2 linked regions of the Rhinolophus ferrumequinum genome follow. The main gene of each other region encodes a partner of the protein of the gene in region 2 in a complex. Links are inferred from orthologs where the notes say so. Each region holds a gene or a part of one and is shown on either strand. Other genes may lie near its edges. The genes, in order: LEP and LEPR.

Region 1 (7,588 bases), on a different chromosome or scaffold from region 2:
ATTTTTCATCCAGGAGACATATAGATACACACATATAAGAGAAACAAGTATCAAGACATAAAATTCACCCTTATTATGGGTGTACCGTCGGGAGTCTCTGTTTTTTTTTTAAATGTTTGTCGCAATATAGAATTTGAAAAGCACTGAGCTAGCATGAGTGGTTTTCTCTTATTTGTAACCAAGAGCCTCACTTGAGAAATCACGTTAACATCATTAGCGAGTCGACAGGGTGTGGGTGTGGGTATACGCTTCCTGTTCATCAGGAACTGCCCTGAGATCTGATCCCACCAGGGGTAACAAATAATGTTAATTCCTGTGTTAACTCCCACCAATTGTTAGCGGCTGGGTGGAGGGGGGGATCTGAAGCTCTATTGAGACTCAGAGGGAGAGGGTGCCACGATCAATTAGTGAGATGTGCCAGGCACCAGAGTGGTGGCCATGCCACTTGTTCCAGCATCTCCCAAGGGCCTGGCACAGAGCAGATGCTCATTACATATTTGTTGAATGAATAAATATTTCCAGCCCTGATCTTCATTGTCTAACGAGGTGAACCTCCCTCTATAATGGCTCACCTGTCACCATCTAAATGTCACACTCTAGAATTCACTTTTTGCCAGCAGGAATTCCTAAAGGCTTTCTTCGTGAAGACAGGAACTAGCACCACGTGGGCCTTCAGCTTTCTGAGTTCTGCTCCACCTTGACTGTCATCCTAGGTGCTCCCTGCCTTGGTCCCCTGGCTCCTGCTCCTGTGCTCTGGGTCTCTCGCCCTTCTCAGAGACCTCTGCTCTGCCCTGTGGCTTCTCCCCTCTTCTTGGCACTCCCAAGCTGGGGCTCCTGAGTACAAATGCAATACGTGCACAGATGGGGACAAAAGTTTCTAAGGGGTGAGATGTTGGCATCGACACCAATCATAGATTCAGTTCCTGAGAGCTGATAAACCGAGAGCTTTTACTGTCTTTTGTAAAAGGCAGTCTTTTGCAGTTTGCTGAGAAGCAACTGAAGTAAGTGTGAAGGATTGTTACACATGAAGTAAGAGCAAAGGATTCCATGGGCCCAGGCACCACGTATGTTGTTTTTAAGCCGAAACAACCTCTCTTTCTATTTTCTGAGACAACTGTGTGGACAAAAGAATTTCAAGGCTCTTGGCTGGCAGTCCAGAACTGAGCTGCTGCCACTGGAATCCTACCGCTGGTGGAGACAGGTCCTACTGATTGCCTGATTGCAGGAAAGTGTGGCTCATTTTTCTTTAAATCACAGGCATGCTGTTCAGGATGCATACACCACGCGGATTCTACCTCCCTGGAGCCCCTTCTCTCTCCCTGACCCCTACGCTCCCCTGGGTGGCATCTAGGCTGGAGTAGGGACAATGACCCAGGTTCTGTGAGGCAAGCTCTCCCACGTGGCCACTTCCGTACCCTGCATGGGCGCCTCAGACACAGCAGGCATCTGCCTGGGGCAGACTGGCAGAAATTAATTGCAATTTCCCTGGCTCTGTCCTTGGTGCTTGGAGCCATTTCCTGGAATAGAGGGGGAGGAAAATATTTCCCCCAAATACCAAGAAGAGTTATTTTGGGCATCAGAGATACAAAATATGAGAAGGACTCCTTTGGCCAACATGGAAACGGTCCCCTCAGCCTAATGTCCTCAATGGCTTGAAAAAGAAAGAACCTAAAAACATCCACTGTTTTTCTCTTGCCTTCTCCCCCTACCGAAGAGAGAAATGGTCAGCTTGGCCATTCTGTTCCCTGGACGTTAGAATGGGAACGACAATGGTTCTGCAGACTAAAGCGATTGGGTCCCTTCTCTCCCACCAGTCCCAGAAGCTTACCGCAGAACTCTATAGAACAAACACAAGGGAGCTGAGAGAGGTCAACTCCGACAATGGGGCATCATGGAACCTGTGCTCCTAGGGTGGTGCCGTCAAGGTGCTGCCCTCGGCCCCACCTCCCCCAAAGACCACCCTTCCAGCAGAAAGTAGTCATCTTGTCTCTGTAAAGCTGCCGTTCTCACATGACAACCAGGCCGCTCGTCACACTCAGGTCTATTATAACTGTATTTAAGGAGTTACTTTTCCAAAGTGCCACCATCTTTAAGCTATAGAACTAGAGTGTAAAGGCGACCACACCCACAGTGAAATCTCAACCAAGCCAGGAGAGAAGGCAGGTTATAGGAGGACCTGGTAGGTCTCATCTGGGGCCCACTGGCCAGGAGTGTGTATTTGGCGATTTTGGCTGGAGAAGTGGTAATGGTGAGAAACGTGAGGAACAGACCTTTCCCATGACCTGTTCTTCTGTCTCCCCAGAGAAACCCTATTTTATACATCATGGAGACGGTCATTTGCACAGCTTTGAGAGCAGAAGTGGTGACTCCCAGCACAATTTCTCTGGGAGATTTGGGTTCTTCCTGATTCTCATTCTCCCCCCCTCTACTCCATCACAGTCCCGAGCCTGGGCCTGGGCCTTATATGGCCCCTCCAATTCAGAGGTCAGGACTCCTGCTGGAAAAGTAAGCCTGATTTCTTATTCACAGAGCAAGGCTGTATCTAGTTCTCAGAAACGGAGCCTGGTTTTTGTGTCCCCTGAACATTCAACTTTATCTGCCTACCCCCAAATAGGAGCAGGGTACCCTGATCTTTGGAGAAGTGCTGAAAGCAATTTGCAAAGCATCTCAACAGCGAGCTGGCGGCTCTGTCTCCTGGGGCCCTGGCTGGCTCCCTGAGCAAAGATTCCTGCCCCGTGGGCACAGGCACAGCCCAGCGCAGCCCAGCCCAGCCCAGCCCAGCTCCCGGCTCCCAGCAGCCTTCCTTCTGGTTAGATAGATCACTGTGCAAAGCTACCACAGTCTAGAATTAAGCCCTCCAGCCTGCCCTTCTCCTGTCTCAGTTTCCCCGGGGGCCCGGGGTGAGGTGGGCAGCTGCGGCCTGCCAGAGCGAGCTGTAGAGAAGGAAAAAGGAGAGCGCTGGGGGCTTACCTCGAAACTGCTCCACCGCAGTCGCTGCGGAGCTCCATGCCTGCCGGCCCGTCTTATAGTCTCGCAGGCACAACTTGCGCAACTGCCGGGCAGGCCTGGGCGCACCCAGAGCGCCAGCTCCCGCCCCACCCCGTGGGCAGCGCTGAGCCGGGCAGATGCGGGCTCCGGGCCTCGAGAGAGGGATTCTGCTGTGCCAGGAGTCACGCGCACACCCTCGGGTATGCCAGCAAGTTTGGGGACCGCTGGCAGGAGCGAGAAATCCTCGAGGTCCCGACAGAAGCTCAGGCATGGCTTCGGACCGGCCTCTGGGGACGGCTGGCTGTGGGGGGCTTCTGTCAGCTTGCTGGGGCGCGGACCGCACCCTCGCTGGCCGGTGGAGCAGATAGCAAGGCCCACAAAGCCAGCTCTGCCGGGCGCGGGGCTGCGCTACCCGCAATGGGTCTCTGCAGCCATCGCGGTGCTCAGACCCGACGGCCGTGCGCGCTGGGGAGCTGTACGCCTGGCGCCCCCACCTGGAATGAAAGGGTTTGCTTTCTTTCCCTCTACCCGGTTCGGGTTCGCCCGGAAGCCAGCTTCCGAGGCTCAGGACAGGTGGTCTCAGGCTGGCCTGCCCTGGAGACAGCGTCCCCTGGATATGAGGAGTCTGCCCCAAGGTGCGTTCGCTCGGGAGGCCTGATACTCTGGGTGTGCAGTCCTTCCCCAACCCGAGGTTTCCTGTGTGGAAAGGGTAGTGTCCCAGACAGCAATATGTTCCTCAGCCTGTGAGTAGGCTGGTATCATCCCCGGGCTTCAGGGACGAGGAAACTGAGGTCCAGGGAGATTAAGTGACTTTCCTCGGAACTCCCAGCTGGTATGTCGTGACAACCCAGGAACGCAGGGTTCCCAGGAACCCAGATGCCAACAAGTAGATCAGGCCCATTCTGGTCACCACAGCAAAGAGCAGCTCTGAAAAGAACCTGTTCAGTTAAGAACCAGCCCAGCATATAAGGTGGGGTGGGGGTGGCAAACTCTGCAGGGGGCCAAATCCTACCACCCACTGTTTTGGTATGGCCCAAGACCATTTTTAAATAGTTAAAAAAAAAATCAAAAGAAGAAAAAGCTAAGACATGAAAAATGTAGGAAATTTACATTTCGGTGTCCACAAATAAAGTTTTAAATTTTGTCCAAATAATTGTGGGAGTTTTCCTCTCTTATACTTACACGACAGCCCTGATGTTGCCCCTTGGCCTGCAAAGTCTAAAGTTACTATCTGGCCCTTTAAAAAGAAAGTTTGCCAACCTCTGAACTAGGGAACACATTGGCATTGGCCCCGCTGGGTCTTTATTCCTGCCAGTCCTGGATGGGCACGGGGGACTTCCATCGGTTTCCCCCGTTCCACTGGGGTCTCTCTCTCTCTCTCTCATTGAAGAAGCTTGTCCTGTTCTCCCTTCCAGGCAACTCTTCTCCCTCCAGCTGGCTTGGGGGACCTGTTCCTCTTCCTCCCCTAGGTTGTAAGGGGAAGATGGGGGCTGGGTCACCCATTTTTAAAGTCCTGGTACCTTCACAGCGCCAGGCACACATGGGTGCCCAGAAAAAGTTTGCTGAAATGAACCCGGGGGCACGATGCGCCACATAGCTGATTTTGGACATGTGCTATCATTGCACCAGCGTTTGGGGATACCTGTAGACGCAAGGCCGTTGGGGGTGTAGATTTTCAAAACTTGTGAAAACATCCCTGCGGTGCTGGTGGTGTGTAGGGAACAAGGAAAGCCTGACTCACACAGGTCCTCACCAGTCACATTGCACCGGAGATTTCCTGATGTAAACATGCTCCCGATGGCTATGTATTCATCCAGGATGGCAGGGTCTGTTTTGTTCTCTGCTATGTCCTCCGTTCATAGCCCAGTGCCTCGCACAAAGTATTTCATTTTTAAGATATATTTTTAAGTGGAAATTTCAAACATACGGAGAAGTAGGCAATATATCCGTGGTTTAGATTTAACAATTATTAGTTTTCCATATTTGCCTCATTTATTTTTTGGCTAAAATATTTTAAAGCACATTACAAACATCATAACATTTTCTCTTCCGTGTATAGCTCTAAAAAATAAGGAAGCATTTCTACATAACTGCAATATCACACAACAGTAATTCCTTAACACCACGAAAGATCCAATTTATATATTCAAATTTCCCGAAATATCTCAAAAATGTCTTTTATAGTTGCTTTGTTTGAGCCTCGTTGTTTTGCTTCTAATTAATAACTATTGATTGAAGGAAGGAAGAAAGGAAATTGAGCTATATATCTGTGGAAGTCAGAAAATGTTAGCATTGACTATGATTTATAATTATACTGCTACGAAAAATGTGGGAAACCAACTAAATGTCCAACATAAGAAATTGGTAAGATGATTGAAAAGACATATGAAAGCGATAAGCACACATTTAAAAAAAAATCTGTTGTAAAATAATATTTAATGAGGTAGGAAAATAATTATATTTTATGAACTAAAAAGTTAGATTACAAAATGATATGTGTTTTCAGATTACACATATGTTGACACACACATTCACACCAAGATATATTGTCACTACAGGGAGTGAGATTAGGCATTAGTTTTAAGCTCTTTGCGCTTTTCTGCTTTTAAAAAGTGTCTGCAATGGAATTACGTGTTAAAGAGAAATCTTGTACCTCCCACGGAAATGCTGTTTTGTGTTGTTTTTCACATACAGGCGGTAGCACTCACTACAATCAAGTTTTCCTTGTTCCCAACATCTTTGTAACTTGGTTATAAGTAAGGACATAGCTTATTTGCAGGGACCTTGGCAGCCTCGGGTTACCTGTGGCAGCATCAGCTTTTTTAGGGTCGTGGGGTGGATTGGGACCAGAGTTACTGCAAGAACATCAAGCAGTGCTTGAGACCACATTGTGGAGATACATACTGCTCTCTATCCATCACCTACCTAGTTTTGCATTTGGTTGACTAATAAATTATTATTTTATTTTTAAAGAAAATATTATTGTATAATAAAATATATTCTATTTTTAAGAAAATTCAGAAAGGACAAAAAGACATGAAAATTCAAGTCTCCAACCCCCTTCTCCTCCTAGATGTAACAGTTGTTACCAGTTTCTGGGGTGTTCTTCCATGGATATTCCTTTTCTAGTCTTCATATATCTATTTTCTTTAAACACACACACACACACACACACACACACACATGATGTCATACTGGTCACACTACTATTCCTGCCCCTTGCCTTTAATTTCTTTTTATTTTGGAAATTTTCAAATCTCCATAATACATTTACAAGAAAAAGCGGCATAACAAATCTCCATGCACCCATCATCCAGCTTCAGCCATTATTGATCTCTTCTTTCACTAACTGTATCTAGAATACAATTTCTTACCAATATACATAGAGCTGTGCCAATCTTTTAAATGTCAGCTTATTTTACTTTATGGATGCACCACAATCAATCTAACCAGATTGTTACATACATAATGTTGTAATTAATAAGTTTAAATCGACTTATTTGAGCATTGTGTGACTACCGTGTTTCCCCGAAAATAAGACCTAGCCAGACAATCAGCTCTAATGTGTCTTTTGGAGCAAAAATTAATATAAGACCTGGTCTTATATTACTGTAATATAAGGCCGGGTCTATAGTATAATATAATGTAATGTAATATTATATTATATTATAATATAATACAGGGTCTTATTTTACTATAATATAAGACCGGGTCTTATATAAGACCCGGTCTCATATTAATTTTTGCTCCAAAAGACACATTAGAGCTGATTGTCTGGCTAGGTCTTATTTTCAGGGAAACAGGATATATCTGTGGGAGAAATTATGATAAATAGAATTGTTGAGTCAGAAGATATGCACTTTCAAAATAGAAATACACTGCCAAATTACATTCCTTAGAGATTGCGCCAATTACATGCACAGTTGGCTGCAAGTGACAGTGACTTAAGCATTAACCGTGTGTAGTTATCCAGAAGCCTGGAGGAGGGCAGGGGCAGTGCTTGGTGGCATCACTGAGAATCCTCCTCCTTCTGATCTTATTTTCTCCCGTTGTGTCCTGTGCTTATTACCTCACAGTTGCAAGATGGATGCTGTCCCTTCAGTCATCATGTCCTTACACCAGTGCCCAGTAGGAAGGGCAGGGCAGAAGCTAAAGGTTGTGTCTTCTTGAAATTCTGGGTCTAGTTGAGGAAGGGAAGTCAGATTTCCCCTTATTTCTCATTGACCAGAACTGGGACATGTGCCCACCCCTAGACCAATCACTGGCAAAAATGGAATGTGATTGCCATGACTGATTTAGACCAATCATAATCCTTCCTCTGGGGCTGGGGTAGATCAAGGTAGATGAAGCAAACTCTGTCCTTACCAGAAAGAATTGGGGTTCCGTAAGATTGGAAGAAGGTGAGAAGAAATAGCTCTTTGGTGACATTCCCCAGGAAGGATCCATGTTAGTTATGTAATGTTGTCTTTTTTTCCCTCCTTTCTTCTCTTGTCTTTTCCTTGTCTCCTTTTCTCCTACCCCCTTTCCTTCCTCCACTTAAACAGAATAATAAAAAATAAACTAAAATTTTTAGGGTGTGTTTTCAAACTCCCATCAGGAT
Region 2 (7,966 bases):
TTTCCTCAATTTATCTCTCTCTCCTTGTGTTATACTCTAGGCAGCAAGCAGCCAGGATGCATCTTCAACACTTTGCTTGGAAATCTCCTCAGCTGTGTATCCAATTTCATTATATCAGTATACAAGTTCTGCTTTCTGTATAACTGCAGGACACCATTCTACTGAGCTTTCTGCCACCATATATAACAAAGATTCTCCTCCCTCAAATTTCCAATATCATGTTCCTCACTTACTTCTATCCTCACCACCAGTCACTTTAATGTCCGTGTTTCTACCAACAGTCTCTTCATAATGATTTAAATATTCTCTAAGGTGATATATGTTTTTCTACCATGTTCCTCACTTCCTTCTGAGTCCTCACTAGCAGCATGAACAGTCTGTTCAAGGCAAGATAGGCTTTTTCCATCATGCTTCACAAAAATTCTTCCAGTTTCTGCCTACTTCCCAATTCCAGAGCCATTCCCACATTTTCAGGTCTTTGTTATAGCAGTACCTCATTTTCACTTACAAAAAAATATTAGGGTTCAACCACAGAAGCAGAACCAGTAGGAGACACATAGTAAGATACTTATTGCAAGGCTGAGGTGATTGTAGAGACTGGCTAGGCTAGTCCTTACGTAGAGCAGACTGTCAAGAAAGGCAAGCTGGGAATTCTCGGTCATGGGTGGAAGGTTCTGTGGAGTTTCTTTTTCTTGAGGGAAGCCTCAGCTCTACTTTTACTGCCTTTCAACTTACTGAACCAGGCCCACCCTGATTATTTAGGATAATTTCTCTCACTTGCAGTCTACTGATGATGGACTTTAATCATGTCTACAAAATCTCTTCATAGCCACACTTCCATTAGTGTTTGATTGCATAACTGGGGACTATAGCTTAGTTAAGTTAGCACACCAAGACCATTACAGTATCCTATATTATAATTCTTTTACTAACCACAGCTGCGTCCTCACACATAACCTAGTTATTTTCATTTGAATGTTCAGGGTTTAAAGGGATTTATTCTCAGAGATATCTTCAGAATCAAGATAAGATGTTTTCATCTTATTGGCTTGTTGTACACAATAGTTCTTCAATTAGCAGTTACACCTTCACAGGGGGCAAATTATTTCTCCATGAGGACTTAGAAGATTGATGTACATTAAATATCAATTTCTTTTGGTTGGAAATGGCATTGATAGTATTTAAATAGTCTATTTCCTTGCTGGGGACCAGCAGCATTGATATCACCTGGGAGCTTATTAGAAATGCAGACACCAGGGCCCCACCCCAGAACTCCTGAAGCAGAATCTGTGCTTTCAATATCCCTAGTTTGATTCTGTTGCACCTTGAAGTTTGAGAAGCACTGGTCTACTACAATTGCCTAGTTTCTTCTGTTACCCTTGCTCGAGGCTCATCTTTTTCTTTTTCTGCCAGACTTTACATATGCAGGATGTACTTCCCTTCCTCCAAATTTGAAAACACAATTCTTGAGTCTAAAAGTTTGCGACATTTCATCATGAATAGAGGTTAAAATCCAAACCACCGTCAAAATCCCATATAACTTTCGATGTTCTTCCTAATAGATCTCTATGTATTTTTCCAGGTACATTTTCCTGAACATATCACGAGCTCTAGCTACACAACTTGCTGTCCCCTAGGGTACCATACCTTTTCCCCTCTGTGCCTTTCCTTCCACACTCTGTTTCTCTGCGGGGAGTGCCCTACACGACCTAGTTGAACAATGAGAACCCTCGCTTGACTCCTCTTGAATATAAAGGACCTGTGTTGTTCGTCTTGGTCATTATGCCTGATATGTAATAGCTACTGATTATCTATTAAGGGAGCAATAAATGAGCAAAATAAGGGAGCAAAATATGATTTCCCAAAATGGTTTCCAGAGATGTGAAGAGTAAATGAGATGATAATACACAAACATAATTGAGTACTAGGTAAAAGTACTATTGTAAACGCATTATCTCATTACTTTTCATGACTGTTCAGAGAGGTCATTATCACTATCACCTCCATTTTACACAAAAAGAAACTGAGACAGAAAGAGGGAACTCATACAAGATTTCATCATAAGTGTGCATGTGCATAAAAACTCAGCAATACGGCCTCTGATAGATATCAAAGCTTCTTGCAAAGTCCTTCACAAATGCAAAATTTGAGATTTGTGTGGTAATTAGACATATAATCAATAGTTATAATTATCATTTTATTTTAAAAGACTTTCGAGAAAACATTTAGAACACCACAGACAGGCTGAAGTGCCATTTGAATCAAACTGTATTCCAACAAACCTTACTGAGTGTCTACGTGTATTGTAGTGGATATCTGTGTTTTTTTGTTGACTTCTTCAGTAAGAGCATCCTAATTTTATTTTGGGGTACCACTTTTCCCCTGCTAAATATTTTGGTTAGGGTGAGATCAACTCTCCTCCCTGTCTCTGTTTTCCCGGAGCGTACAGGTTATTCACACCTGGATAGTCATTGTATTCCAACTCATTGGCTATCATGACCCAAGTAAGTTAATAAATAAGACTTGGTTTGGTAGTTGTTAACATATTGGTTAATTGTTTCAAATTGTAAGAGTGGAAGAGTGAGAAGGAAAGTCAAAGAGAGAAGAGCTGAACCAGGAGAGAGTCATGAAAATTGTTGTAAAGAGTTTCAAGGAATGTTATATCAATATTATGAAATTAATAGTTAAATAAGGTTTATATATTTTGAAATTAACAACCAAAATACTTGGACAAACTGTTTTATTCATTGTAAGTAACTGTAACTTCAGTCATGATTGATTTCTCTTCGCAGGATCTGTATCTGTGTAAATAGGCATATTATTGATTTTTTTTTTTTAAAAGAGAAGATAGGCGATCTCATTATTTTCTTTTTTAAATCAAATGTTTCCTTTTAGTGATTTTTTTTCCTCACTCACGAATGAGTTAAGGTGTTAATCCTTTCTTGTTATCATAGAGAAGTTTTTCAATGTGGTAATAATTGCCTAATTGGTAGTGATTTATTTTTACTCATCTAGTCAGTCAACAGCTCTTTATTGGCCTTCAGATATACAGCAGGCTTTGTGCCAGAGGGAATGAAATTCAAAGGCGTCCCTTAGCCTAGAATGTAACCTCCATAGGAGTTCCTGACTCAGAGCCTGATGCCTAGCAGGCATTCAAGATTTGATCATGTTATCAGAAATCCATACACGTGGATGTGGGGGTGTATTTCTGTATTAATTTAACAATGGTAGCTTCGAGGAGCTGTGCTTGGTCTTTAAGTATTGCCTGTGACTCAAACATGAATTGAAGGCTTGGGCCTTTGTAATTCTTTTCCTTGTGGCAGTTATTCCTCATAATACTCAGGTTTAATGATCCTTATTTTCAGTAGTTCACAATGAAATAATTTATGACAATGATGCTGGAATGATACCCTGATACCATAGTAGGTAATTTTGGTCCCTAATAGTTTACTAGCTTTAGTGGATTGAATGGTGGCTCCCCCTGCCAACCCCCCCAAAAAAAACTGTCCACATCCTAAACTCCAGAATCTGTGAATGGATGTTATTTGGGTCTTTGCAGATGTAATTAAGTAAGAATCTCCAGTTGAGATCCTTCTGGATTATCTGGATGGTCCCTACATCCAATGACAAGTGTCCTTATAAGAGACAGAAGAGAAGAAGACACAGACACAGAGAAGGCCATGTGATGATGGAGGCAGAAATTAGAGTGATGCAACCACCAGCCAATGAATTCCTGGAGCTACTAAAAACTGGGTGGGGCAAGGAAGGATTCTCCCCTTAGAGCCTTGGGAGGGAATACAGACTTGAGGACACCTTGAGGTTGGACTTCTGGTCTCCAAAATAGTGAAAGAATAAATTTCAGTTGTTATAAGTGTTAAATTCGTGGTCATTTGTTAAAGCAACCTTAGAAAATGAATATGCTAATTTATACCAATTATCTAATTAAGGATTCTGCTGTGTTGTTTTATTTCATAATAATTTGGGAAAGTCAGTATCTCTATTCCAATTCCTGCCTTCACCCGATGGAGACATTGGTCTGTTTTTTGAGGTTTGAATGAAAACTCAAAGGTTAGTGCTTCTGGGTTATTTTTGCCTTTCAAAGATGCCCCAGAAAGTTCATTCAGTGCACAAATATGAAATTTCTGAATGAAGTGACCTCAACAGGTGGTCTGGAGATCCAAATGCTATGCAGAAAAGTGACACTGGTCCCGGGAGGAAATTTCTATAGGGGAAAATTTCCATTTACGAAGCTCCACAAGTTGGCATCTCTGGGTTACTTTCTCTCTGTGCCTCTGAGGCCTCTTCCTACGAGGGTGTTAGGCAAGTTATTTCTAGAGACTTTTTAAAATTAACCATTCATCCCACCTAGAGTATGTCCACTCCCCCTTTATTCATTCTTCCTCACGCTGTTGGTTTCCTTCATCTCACCCATCACAGTTGGTAGATGTATGAATACTTGCGTGTCTGACTATTACAACTCCAAGTTCAAGGAACATAATAACTGCCCCTAGCATATTGTCTGGCACACAGTATGTCCTCAACAAATCCATGAGTGAACATTTTGAGTGGAGAGCAAGAAACTGTCTAATTACTTTGGGTTTGGAATCAGGCTGTTGAAGGATTTTTGTTTTCCTACATCAAAAGCCATTGAATTTCAAGATTGAAAGATAAATGGTCATTTAGTCCAACCCCCACTTGGTGCGTGAGTAGCCTGGTCAGCCTTTCTGACAGCATGACCAAAATGCTTGGCTGAAACATCCTTGGTGATGGGAAGCTCACTACCTCACTACTTCGGGTCTTTCCGATTCGTTCTCCTTTCCCACTCCTCCCAATCATTGCAATCTTTATGGTATCATTTTCCACACCTGATGGAGCAGAGGCATGGAAGTCCGCAGGTGGGAGGAACAGAGGGAACCCTAGCCTAATTCAGAGTCTGAGAACCGCTGGCTCAAGGTGGGTGCGCTGTAGCTGACTGCAGGATGAAGTAGCGGTGCCCCCTTCCTGCTGGGTTTGTCTCTGCTCTCGGACTCCCGGAGCCGGGGCGGGGGCGGGCAGGGGGTCCTCCTTCTCAACGTCTCCGCTTCTCCTCCTCCGGGCCCGCGGCCACGCGCCTCGGTGCTCCCTGCCCTCGCCCCGCGGGGTCCCTTCTGCCGCTCCCGAGCTGTCGCGGAGTGCGCGGGCACGCGGGCGGCCACCCGGCTCTCTCTCCCTTCTCCCCAGCCCATAGGCCACCCCCCCCCCCGCCCCAACCTCCCCGCCAGCTCCTCCTCCGCACACACTCTGCTGCCCTTCTCTCTCCTGAGAGTTGCCTGGCATCTTCGGCGAGGAGTTTGGAGCGCCCCATCGCAGAGACCACGCCGGCTGAGAGCGAGCCACGCAGGTGCCATCTCTGCCTTCCATCTGGGTTGGATCCCGGCATCGAGGTGGGACCCGCTTCTCTCTCCTCCATCCCTCTAACGCCACCTTTTCCCGCTCCCGGCAATTCGAGGAGGGGGGCGCTGAGCCGCGCGGAGCCTGTGGGCCACTTGGGGACCAGGAGTTAGGGCCGGCCTGGAGGCGCCACTAGAGGGGCGCCGGGAATCTCTCGGCTCCCCCGGGGCTGGGAATCGGGGGGACCCGGGGCGAGGGGGTCGGCGAGCACAGCTAAGTGAAGCCAGCCGAGTCTGGGCTCGCACCTGCCGGGCACGTCCCGAAAGGACGTGCCACTCGGCCAACTTCTTTTCCGGGTCTCCTTCCTACAGTGGAAACTGAAGGGACTCGTAAACCAGTAAGCCCGGGGGCCCGGAGGAGGGATTTATTGGTTTGGATGCAAAAGAAAAAAAAAATTGTTGTACACCCGAGCCTCTGTTTCCCACTCTCTCTTGCTCTGCTAAAGCATATTAAAAAACAAAACAAAGAAAAAACCCAATCCTAAGCAAAGCATTTATTTAAAGGGATTTGTAGAGGCGAGAAAAAGAGACCTAACTGAAGAATCACTTTGGAAACCCCAGGTACGGCGAGGCAGTCTAAGAAAATGGTTATTGTGGGTGCCATTTCTAGGACTTGTGTTTGCAAACGGAAGATGGCACTGGCTCTTGTAAGCCTGACGAAGTTCCTAATAGTGAGGGGTGGTTCGGAGTGTCTTCTGTTAACGTTTATTTGCATAAGTATTAAAGTACCTTGAAACAAGTACCCTTTCAGAGGTTTGGACGTGGAGTCAGAATTTTGGTATGATTGCCTTTTATCTGTGACTTTGCTGTTAGCTTGACTTCTGTGGGCCTCAGTTTCCTCATCTGTCAAATTAGAGGGTTGAATTAAGATTCTGAGGGCCTTTTAATAATATCTAAGATGTTTCCCAACTTAAAAATTTATAATTCTTTAACATGCTACAAACATTGCTAGATTCATAATTTCACGACATTTAAAAAATCTATATTGATCTTGGCATTTTGTTTATATGCATTTAGGAATTGTGCTTTTAGGGTTTTCCAACCAAAAATTAAAGAGAAAAACACTTCTAAAAGGATTCAGAAATACATAGTTTATATGTAAATATTTAGATCATCTCTCCCTCTACCTCAAAGAATCCTGTTCAACTTTAAGTTAGTATTTACAACACTGCAACAAAAACACGTGACTTTAGCAAAGTACTTATTCTCTTTCAGTATTGTATATTTGGAGGACATAAAAATTGTTTTGGAGGAAAACAAAAATCGCACCTTTCCTAGCAATTACTGCTCTTGAAAAGTGTTTGCTACTTTTTAGCATAAAGTTGTGTGCAAAATATTAAAAAAATGGTTTCAGGCCACTTCAGATCCTCTCAGAAATGAGCTCAGGAGCAGAGATGCCAATTTTAGTAAAGCATTTTTGTTGTCTTGGATTGAATCCCAGAAAATAGCAGAGGTTAACCAAACAGATAAATAAGAAATTAGGTTTTGACACACACAAAAAGTTTTATAAGAAGTGGGTACTATTCAGCTAACCTTTCATTTCCTTTTGATAAAAAAATGACAACAAACAACTTTTGGCTTAAGCAGATAGAGAATGTTAGAATGGCTTTTGTTGTTACTTGTAATTCAAAATTATTTGAGACTTAGTCATCAGACTTAGTCATCAGTCATTAGGGTAGGTTTAGAAGTGTTTTGGCTCTTTTTGGTGGCTTTGATCTAAAGTAATGTGTTTGTACCAGCATGTACTTTGTATGCAGTTTGGGATAATGGAGTGGATTTGAAATACTCTTTTATGAACACATTTTAACTTAGTTTCAGTGCCTTTTCACTTTGGGGCTGACAGTGTCATGAATCATTCAGGCATTTGTCTTCCCTCATATTCTCTAGTGAAGTAGATGTTTCTAAGATGAGTATCTTAGAAACAGATGCTCAAAACGTTCAGCAAATTGGTTTTTGAATGAACAGAGAGTAGTAGTAGAACTTAAATGCCCTGGCTTCTCATTGCTGGTTGGAAAACAACTGAAAACAGTGGATGGGTCTGACTGCTCAAGGTCCACAGCCAACTCATTCGTGGCTTAGAAGCCATGGTTGGCAGAAGCTCTATTTCTCTTTTGTAATATGGGGACTTTACTCTCATGAATTTACCAAGAAAAAAGTCATGCCTTCACACTTAGATCATTATTATATAACTGAATGATTTGTATTTGTGAAGTACAATATCTCAGGGGGTCTTGGAATAAAACTAAAATGTCCAGGAAAAAAAAAGAATTGTCTTGGGCATACTGTACTGCATTTTTCATATTGAGAGCCAAACACACATGCAGTACTAAAACACATGTCCTGTGGAGTTAAAATGAAGAAAAGGGCTTATAGTCTGCTCTAATTCTTAAGATTTTCTGTGATTTACAAATTCCGCATTTAATTAAATCAGAAAATCACAAATGTTCACCTCCTGACCCACTCTAGTACATATAACCTTTTAGTTTAAATTCATATTTGGTCTGCTTATTATTTGGAATATTCCTTCTCAAATACTA

The links.
Region 1: the proteins of LEPR (region 2) and LEP are in contact, whole or in part, in a crystal structure (PDB 7Z3R), measured with the Mus musculus proteins. The link is inferred for Rhinolophus ferrumequinum from reciprocal best matches to the Homo sapiens genes LEPR and LEP. Residues at the interface, in NP_666258.2 of Mus musculus: Tyr439, Leu440, Thr441, Arg466, Ser468, Leu469, Tyr470, Gln499, Pro500, Ile501, Phe502, Leu503, Leu504, Ser505, Val560, Phe561, Glu563, Asn564; in NP_032519.1 of Mus musculus: Lys26, Val27, Asp30, Thr33, Leu34, Lys36, Thr37, Thr40, Arg41, Gln92, Gln96, Asn99, Asp100, Glu102, Asn103, Asp106, Leu107, Leu110.

The regions. Positions count from the first base shown.
Region 1 is NC_046309.1:17,596,149-17,603,736, forward strand, and holds the start of LEP (leptin), read right to left. Parts: upstream 3,099-7,588; 5' UTR 2,971-3,098; intron 1-2,970. UniProt on the Homo sapiens protein: Key player in the regulation of energy balance and body weight control. Once released into the circulation, has central and peripheral effects by binding LEPR, found in many tissues, which results in the activation of several major signaling pathways.
Region 2 is NC_046292.1:48,167,623-48,175,588, forward strand, and holds the start of LEPR (leptin receptor), read left to right. Parts: upstream 1-4,935; 5' UTR 4,936-4,953; intron 4,954-5,277; exon of another isoform or gene 5,278-5,423; intron 5,424-7,966. UniProt on the Homo sapiens protein: Receptor for hormone LEP/leptin. On ligand binding, mediates LEP central and peripheral effects through the activation of different signaling pathways such as JAK2/STAT3 and MAPK cascade/FOS.